2 linked regions of the Ovis aries genome follow. The protein of the gene in region 1 interacts with the protein of each later gene in a biochemical or structural test. Links are inferred from orthologs where the notes say so. Each region holds a gene or a part of one and is shown in the gene's direction. Other genes may lie near its edges. The genes, in order: ZFP36 and YWHAB.

Region 1 (4,028 bases):
GCCCGAGAAAGCGCCGCACCAGGGATTCCCCCGTGCTCTGTCGGACGAGCAGATCAGCGTGCCTAGCAGAATCTCCCCACCTCAATACAAGCCCGCAGTCCGCAGTCACAACCTGCAAGAATGAACTTTCCACCATAATAACTGCACTCCGTGGCAATGATTTATTTCTACCACCGTATTTTCAGTCAGGGCAGCCAGCTCTGGAGACCCCCTTTAAAAATTAGTGTTTTTACCATATCTTAAGAGAGCATCACTCAGGGCAACTCCTTTACAATAAAAGACTTGTCAATGAGGGGAGTGATTTCTGCAAACGCAGAGTTCTTTCAAGGCACATCCCTTTATGAGAGTCCCATCCGACCATCAGTTGGGGATGATCCATTTCTTCCATTTGAGACAGCTTTCCAGCAAAGAAACCCTCCATCATAATAAAAGATCTCCCCCTTTCCAATCTTGAGTTTTCTTGAGTGCAAACTCCCTTTAATATGATTTAAGGCCCTGGTATTAAGCTAATGCCATTCACTAACAATAACTTGGCCTCTTCATGCCTGGGTTTCCCTGTGTTTAAAATGGGCATAATACCTCCTTGGGTTAATGTATGTAAGACACTTTCTGCAATTGTGCCTAGCCCAGAGGAAGCCATCAGAAGCGCCATTATTTGTGTGAGGGTGAGAGGACACAGCGGTCCTGTATTTGGGAAATGAGGCCCCTTTCCAACCTCACCAGGTGTGTGGGACCCCACCTCACCCCCAATCCTCGTGAATGGGAGCAAAGAGGGCGGTCCAGGTCTCAGGATCTGGGCAGTTCGGGAGCAAGACCGTCCAGGATTGGGGAGGCTCTTCTCTCACTGTTTTGCTCCTGCGGATTTCTGTCTGTGGATGTTTGTTTCTTCCAGTTTTCGCCCCTTCTCTATTTGTACGACTCTCCCTCCCTCCCGCTTCTCGCTCTGAATTTGTCTCTTTGGGGACTGTCTACGTCTCTTTTCAAGCTCTGCCTTCCCACCTCCCCTCCTCTCCTCACCCTGTCTCCCCCGCTCTGTGCATGTCTCCCTGTGTGCGTAGCTCCCCCCGTGTGTGTGTGTGCCCCCATGTTTTTCTCTTTGCGTCCCTCCATTTCTCTCTTGCTCTCGGTTCGCCTCTCCCCGCCCCTGTCGATCAGTGTCGCGCGCGCACGCCCTCTCCGCCTCTGCCCTTGTCAATTCCCCCGGGAGCCCTGCCCCCACCTCCGTCCCGGTTCCCTTCTCCGCGCCTCAGTCTCCAGCCTTGAAAACTGGGCCGACACCCCCACCCCCCACCTCACGCACTCCCCGCGGGGTCGCGACCGCCCGCGGGCCCCGCTCAGGCGAATTCGGGCCGGGATCCAGGCGGAAGGGCTCCGAACTCGGGCCGGCAGTGCTGCGCTGGGGGCGCGCGTCCGGGAAGCGCCCCTCCTCGCCCCGCCCTCCCGGGGCCAACTCCCCTTGGCCCCGCCTCCCCTCTGGTCGAATAAAAGTGGCGGCTCTTCCACTCCACCGCAGCGTGACTTCAGCGCTCCCACTTTCCGTCGGCTCTACATCCTTCGGCCATCTGCGCCGCCATGGATCTCGCCGCCATCTACAAGGTGAGCCCCCCAACCGATCGGCACCCCGACGTCCGCAACACCTGACTCCCTTCTCAAACCAGGGCTTTCTAGGGCCGCAAACAAATTCCTGCCCCGGACCAGCCCTCCCCGCACCGGTTTCCCTTCTCAAACTGGAACTCCTTAGCGCTTCACACCGGCCCGGGGTTCCTGCCTCCCGGATCAGATCAGTGTGATCCTCTGGGGATGAAAATGGAGCCTGTGGCTTTCTGATCTCGGCCCCAACACGAGTGGGGTGGCCCTCGGAGATGGAAAGCTGGAGAACTTTTCTCAGACCGGGGCTGTCTGGAGGCGGAAATGGCCCCCACACCTGGATTACCCGAGTAGTTGCTGAGGGCGCGGTTTTGCGCGGAGGCGTTTCTGGGGCTGGAGTCTCAGGGTGAGCGGGAGCTGACTTCTGTCTCTTCGCTCCCTGCCCCAGAGGATCTTGGAATTCTAAACCCGAAGAGATCCGGACTCCTGGCTTAATTTTGCCCGCTGTTCCACTTGTGAAATTGGAGAAACCGATGAGTGGGGTCAGATCCCGAGAGGCCCAGAGGCTTAAAAAATTGGAGAACAGCAGTCTGTCCTGACTTTAGGGCCCCTCTGATCCAGCCGGGGGAGCCGAGATTAGTGGGTCCCTCGGGATGAGCTTAAATCGCGAATAAACCTCCAAATCGGGATCCCTGAGATCCGGAACCCGAGGTTTGTTTTTTTTTTTTTTTTCCCTTAGGGCGGGTGGGGCTGAGGCCGGGAGCCCACAAACCGGACTGGCAAGCCCTTGGTTGCCCTGCAGCTGGGGCGGGGCGTCACCCTGTATTTTCGGTGTCTTAACCGATCGTTGTTTCCACAGAGCCTCCTGTCGCTGAGCCCTGAACTGCCATCCGACCTCGGAGAGACTGAGTCCAGCACCAGCTGGGCTTCCTCGGGACCCTGGAGCCTCAGCTCATCCGACTCCAGCCTGCCTGAGGCCGCTGCCCGCCTGCCTGGCCGCTCCACCAGCCTGGTGGAGGGTCGCAGCTGCGGCTGGGTGCCCCCACCCCCAGGCTTTGCGCCCCTGGCTCCTCGACCCAGCTCGGAGCTGTCGCCCTCACCCACCTCGCCTACCGCGACTCCCACCACCTCATCCCGCTACAAGACTGAACTATGTCGGACCTTCTCAGAAAGCGGGCGCTGCCGCTATGGGGCCAAGTGCCAGTTTGCCCATGGCCTGGGTGAGCTGCGCCAGCCCAGTCGCCACCCCAAGTATAAGACGGAGCTCTGCCACAAGTTCTACCTCCAGGGTCGCTGCCCCTACGGTTCGCGCTGCCACTTCATCCACAACCCCAGCGAGGACCTGGCTGCCCCCGGCCATCCCCATGTGCTGCGCCAGAGCATCAGTTTCTCAGGGCTGCCCTCGGGCCGCCGAACCTCGCCACCACCAGCAAGCTTAGCAGGCCCTTCCGTGCCCTCATGGTCCTTCTCGCCCTCCAGCTCCCCACCACCGCCACCCGGGGACCTTCCACTTTCACCCTCTGCTTTCTCTGCTGCCCCCGGGACACCTGTGTCCCGAAGGGACCCCACCCCAGCCTGTTGCCCTTCCTGCCGAAGGGCCACCCCCAACAGCGTCTGGGGGCCTGTGGGTGGCCTAGCTCGGAGCCCTTCTGCACACTCCCTGGGATCTGATCCCGACGAATATGCCAGCAGCGGCAGCAGCCTGGGGGGATCCGACTCACCTGTCTTTGAGGCTGGGGTTTTTGGGCCACCTCAGCCACCTGCCGCCCCTCGGCGACTTCCCATCTTCAATCGTATCTCCGTTTCGGAGTGACAAGTGCCTGCCTAGTACAGATCAGCTGGATCTTAAGGGGGGCCATTTTTCTTGTGCGTGGGTTCCACAAGGGGTCCCGGGGCTGTAGGGAACTGAGGGACTCGTAATCATGTAGTTCTCCCCACCTTCCAAAGTGCATTAACTCACTCCCCTGACCCCCGCGCTGGGGCAGGTCCTCAGCGTGCAGGCTGTTTGGGAAGGAGTGTTTTATGGGGTCTTTTAAAAAAAATGTAGCAAGTTTGAGGGAGGTAGTAAGCCTCTTCAACTTCACCCCTGCCCAATGCTGTGAATAATAAGCCCCCAATGCCCTCTTCCAGTTACTTCCTAGATCCTGGGGCTCCAGTGTCGTGATTGGAGCCTCACCTGAAAGGGAATCCTGGTGCTCAAACTTCCCTCCAAAAGCAAGTAGCCAAAGCCATTGCCAACGCCCGGCTCTCCCACCCCCGCCTTTGGGCCCTTTATTTATGACGACTTTATTTATTCTAATAGATTTTATAGTATTTATATATATTGGGTCGTCTGCTTCCCTTGTATTTTTCTTCCTCTTTTTGTAATATTGGAAACGATGAAATAATTATTGTTATAAGTATACACTATAATATATTAAGTAATATATATTGTTAAAAAT
Region 2 (4,318 bases), on another chromosome or scaffold:
GCAGATTTTCCCTCACAAAGATATCTCTCAATCTTTAAAAAAAATGTTGGCAACTAACACCAATGGTTTAGAAAGACTGAAACTGGCATATTGAGAGGATAAGGAACTGAGGATTTGGGGTGGGAAGAAACAGCAAGGAGAAGCTGAAAGATGAGGGCAGCTTCTGGAGAACCTTGACTGTCACATTCAAGGAGCTTATCGATTGTCTTCAAGGTCTGAGTGATCACCGAACATATTAAGAAAGAAGAGGCACCAGTTAGAACGGGGTTTTTCAACAATCACTTTGGCAGTTGATGGGAGCAGGTCTGAGGGAAGGACGATGCATTAGAAGTTGATCAAAACCTAAGTAAAGTTAAAGGAGAAATGACAAGGACTATTTACTTTGTTCTGTCTCCTACCAGCCTGTAAACTCCAACACAGCAGGGCCCCTTCTGCCTTGTTCTTGCTTTGTTTCCAACATCCAACATAAAGCCTGCTTAATAAGTATTTGCTGAAAGAATGAATGATGGGGGTGGGGTGGGGTGGGGGGAGTAGAGGTGAGGCATTTTGAAGAACTGCCTTGGGAAGTGCTTAATGTTGATAAAGGGTGAGAGCAGTCATGAGGAGTAGGAGGCAGAGAAGGCCTGGTTCCTTTCGTTAAACTTCCTTTAAGATCTTGAGTAGAGAGTATTCGGGAATCCCTGATAGCTCAGTTGGTAAAGAATCTGCCTGCAATACAGGAGACCCTATTCCTGGGTCAGGAAGATCCCCTGGAGAAGGGAAAGGCTACCCACTCCAGTATTCTGGCCTGGAGAATTCCATGGGCTGTATGTATAGCCTGTGGGGTCGCAAAGAGTCGGACACCACTGAGCGATCATCGGCAGTCTGATTCCCGGTTTCCTCAGTCCATAAAATGACGTACCTTGAAGGACGGAAGGGAGGACTAAAGAAAACTCTATGGATGAGCAATTGCAGTCCTTCCCTAAATCTAGTATTTCCAGAGCACGCAGCAATAGGGGGCTGACTTGCACCTCCGATCCCGTGACGACTCCTTTCGGGGAGGGGTGGGAACCAACGACCTCGGACACTGGGCCTGGCCCCGGCGAGCTCCGAGCCTAAGCCTCAGGCCCGCCAAGCCCCAAGCCTCGCCCAGTGCCCCCAGTTTCCACACAGCCCCTTTCTAGAGCCCTCTCAGCCCCGCCTGCACTCCGCCCACCTCCTTCTTCCGCTCCCCCCTCCATTTCCGTACCCCCCCGCCCAAGCCCGCCTCCTCCGTGCTCCCGGGCCAGACCCCCGCCGCGCCCCGCCCCGGCCGCGGCACCCCTGCCCTCCGCTCTCCTCCCTCCTCTTTCGGGCGGCGCCCCTCTTGGGCGGCCGGGGCGACCCCGTGCCCCGCTCGCCCAATGAAGAGGCGGCGCAGGGGCGGGGCTCGAGCCGGAGCGGAAGTGGTGACCGGAGCGGAAGTGGAGCCGCCGCAGCCGCCGATTCCGGAGCCGGGGTAGCTGCCGCCGCCGCCTCTGCAGCCGCCGCCGCCGCCGCCGGAGGAGTGGGATTGGGGAGGAAGCGGTCACTGCGCCCGGAGCTCTGCTCGCAAGGTTCTCTGCCCCCTGCAGTCCTCCCACGGTGAGTGCGGCGCGGGGTCCGCCCGAGGCCCCCAGGGGCCCGAGCCCACGGCTCCCCCATCACTGGCAGCGGCGGCGGCGGCGGCGAGGGCGACCTCCCGGGTGGGCTTCGGGGGCGGCGGCGCGCGGCCTTCTCGGCCCCGCGAGGCCGCCCGCTGCGCGGGCTCTGCCTCACCGCGGCCCCTCCCTGTTTCCGGGGCCGGGCCCGTCGTTCTGGGAGAGGCCCGGGCCACCCTCGCCGCCCGCGGCCCTGCCCGGCGGGCGGGGTGCGGCTCCCCATACCAGGCGGGAACGGACGAGGAGTCGCGGACTCCCGACTCTTCCTCACGACCCAGCCTCGATCCCCGCGCGACCTTTCCCTGCACCTTGAGCGGCCAGATCGTACCCTTTCAGCTCGGTCACCCTCGTTCCTCGCTTTCCGGTTTTCAAAAATGAAAATGTAACCAAATGCAGGCGAGCTTTCAGGCCCAATTCCTCTGTTCGTTACCCGCACCCCCCGCCCCCCGGGATGGGTAACAGGTTTAACCTTGGGAGAGAGCAAAGGGAAAACCCCCCTCCCACTTTGCAGTAAAGCCATTTCATCATCATTCGCTGGTTTGGGAGCCTGGCAGGACCCGAGATTCCCTAGGAGGCACAGGGTTGAGATTTGTATCAAGAAAATGCATTTGCTGGAACTGGTTACTGAGTCAGGCCGGATCCCCAGGAAAAAAAATAAAATGTCTGAGGCTCAGAATTGGAATATTTTCCCAACGGCATTTACCGTCATTTAATGCCAGAGTCATTGTGTCCTCGCCCCAAATTCCCCATACTGTGTGTTAACGCGACTTTAGGACTGAAATTTGCCTGGTGGCCTCCCTGGTGGTGGCGAAGGGGTGGGAGTAATTAAGACCCTTTTCTGCACAGAATGAGTGCATCTTTGTCTATTGCAAATGGAGAACTCTGCGTGTAATGGGGCTTTGAAAGGTGGCAGTATTGGTAAGACAGGTTGCCAACCTTTCTGTAAAATTTTTGTCTCTTGTCCTTGCCATCACTGCTTTTCCCTTTAGTAAGGCTAGATCGCATCAGGTTCTGATTTTACTTGCCCTGTGTGGGAGAGAGGATTTGGCAAGATTCTATTATGAACATAGAACATCAGGCGGCCACGGGAGCCAGAACAGAAAGATGAAGCACTTGGAAGAATATGAAAAATTGTCTGCATTTCTCAGTCTATCTCAATTGTTCATATGAAACCACACACACACGCAGCTTACAGAACTAGACACATGGGTACTCTGCTTTTTGCCTTTTCATGTTAGAAATTTATGTATTAATATGTGTTCTTGATTCTTGGTCATTTCCTTCTTGACTGCTTCCAGGGCACTCCATTTCTTGTTTAGGAATGTGTCAGTTGCCTGAGCCCTCATTTTTAGCACACATGGTGAGCATGAAACCTGGCATTGTGCTGGACCCAAGTTAGAATTTTCCAGGTGATCTTCATGGTGGAAAGCTAATCCAGTAGCCACTGCTGAACTGTTTCTCTGTTACCTCCTTTCAGTGAGATAAGAAACCCTTCACCTGTCTTACAGATGAAATCCTTCAGAGAAAGGAGATGATTTGGCCTAGACCACACACCTGGTTTCCAAGTTGAATATCCTCCTTCATCAGTAGCAAATATTTATGGCCTGTCAGTCCCAGGAGTGTGGCTCCTACCCTATAATCTTCTGTACATTTCCCATCAGGCAGTGCTTGTGTTAGGTTGGAGCCATTTTAGAATCAGAGCTCTATAGATTGGGGAGGCAGCCTCCAGAGAGCCAGGCTGAGCACATTCCCATAATGCTAGTTCTTGAGGCAGAGTCTCCGGAGATTTGGGCCGCTGCAAAAAGTGTATTTTGCCCGGCTGTGGGTGTGAAGCAGGAGGAGCACTGGACTCGGAGTCAGGTAAATTCGATTCCACCCTTCCTTGCAGCATTTTCTAGTTGTGGGATCTTCAGTGTTCTGCTTAATCTCTGGTTCCTGGTTTCTCTATCTCCAGGTTTGTCAAGAGACCTTTTTACAAACTGTAAACTGTTAAATATAAGCTTTTGTGTTTTAATCACAGAGTTCACTGTTAAGGGCTTTTCCCCCCTTGGTTGCATTCTGATGAGACCCAATGTTACTTTGTATACATGTTGCTTTAAAAAAAAAAAAAACTGGTATGGTATTATGGAACTGCATTGTGGACCAATTTTCTCATTGGTCAGTGCACACGGTAGTAGTCTTTGATGTATTATTGTGACAAACTCAGTAATTAAAATAAGGGTGTGAAATCTACCTGATGTTTAATAAATGTTATTTGACTATATTTGTGAGTATACATATATATAGATAAGACACATGCATATGTGCTATAATGCATAGGCACATAGAGAGTCCATCCAATGTTTATTCATCAACTGATGAGGTGGTATCAAGCTGTAATAGTAATAATAGCTGTTGTTTATATGTGCCAAGCTTTGTTCTGAGCACTCTACACGTATTAACTAAGTCTTCATAACAACCTATGACAGGTAAGTACTGCTAGCCCCGTTTTAGTTGAGGAAACTGAGGCACAGAGAAGTTAAATAATTTCCCTGGAGGCATACACACACGCAGCACTGGGTCAGTGCCAGAGCCAGGAATCAAACCCAGGCAGTCTGGCTCTAATGATAGATTTCTACTTGTGGTAGAAACAGCACATGTTTATCTTTCATGTGAACACC

Evidence for each region.
Region 2: the proteins of ZFP36 (region 1) and YWHAB form a complex in vitro, tested with the Homo sapiens proteins (2 studies listed by BioGRID). The link is inferred for Ovis aries from reciprocal best matches to the Homo sapiens genes ZFP36 and YWHAB.

What each region holds. Positions count from the first base shown.
Region 1 is NC_056067.1:48,457,317-48,461,344, forward strand, and holds ZFP36 (mRNA decay activator protein ZFP36), read left to right. Parts: upstream 1-1,572; coding exon 1,573-1,596; intron 1,597-2,446; coding exon 2,447-3,400; downstream 3,401-4,028. UniProt on the Homo sapiens protein: Zinc-finger RNA-binding protein that destabilizes several cytoplasmic AU-rich element (ARE)-containing mRNA transcripts by promoting their poly(A) tail removal or deadenylation, and hence provide a mechanism for attenuating protein synthesis.
Region 2 is NC_056066.1:73,240,372-73,244,689, forward strand, and holds the start of YWHAB (14-3-3 protein beta/alpha), read left to right. Parts: upstream 1-1,420; 5' UTR 1,421-1,602; intron 1,603-4,318. UniProt on the Homo sapiens protein: Adapter protein implicated in the regulation of a large spectrum of both general and specialized signaling pathways. Binds to a large number of partners, usually by recognition of a phosphoserine or phosphothreonine motif.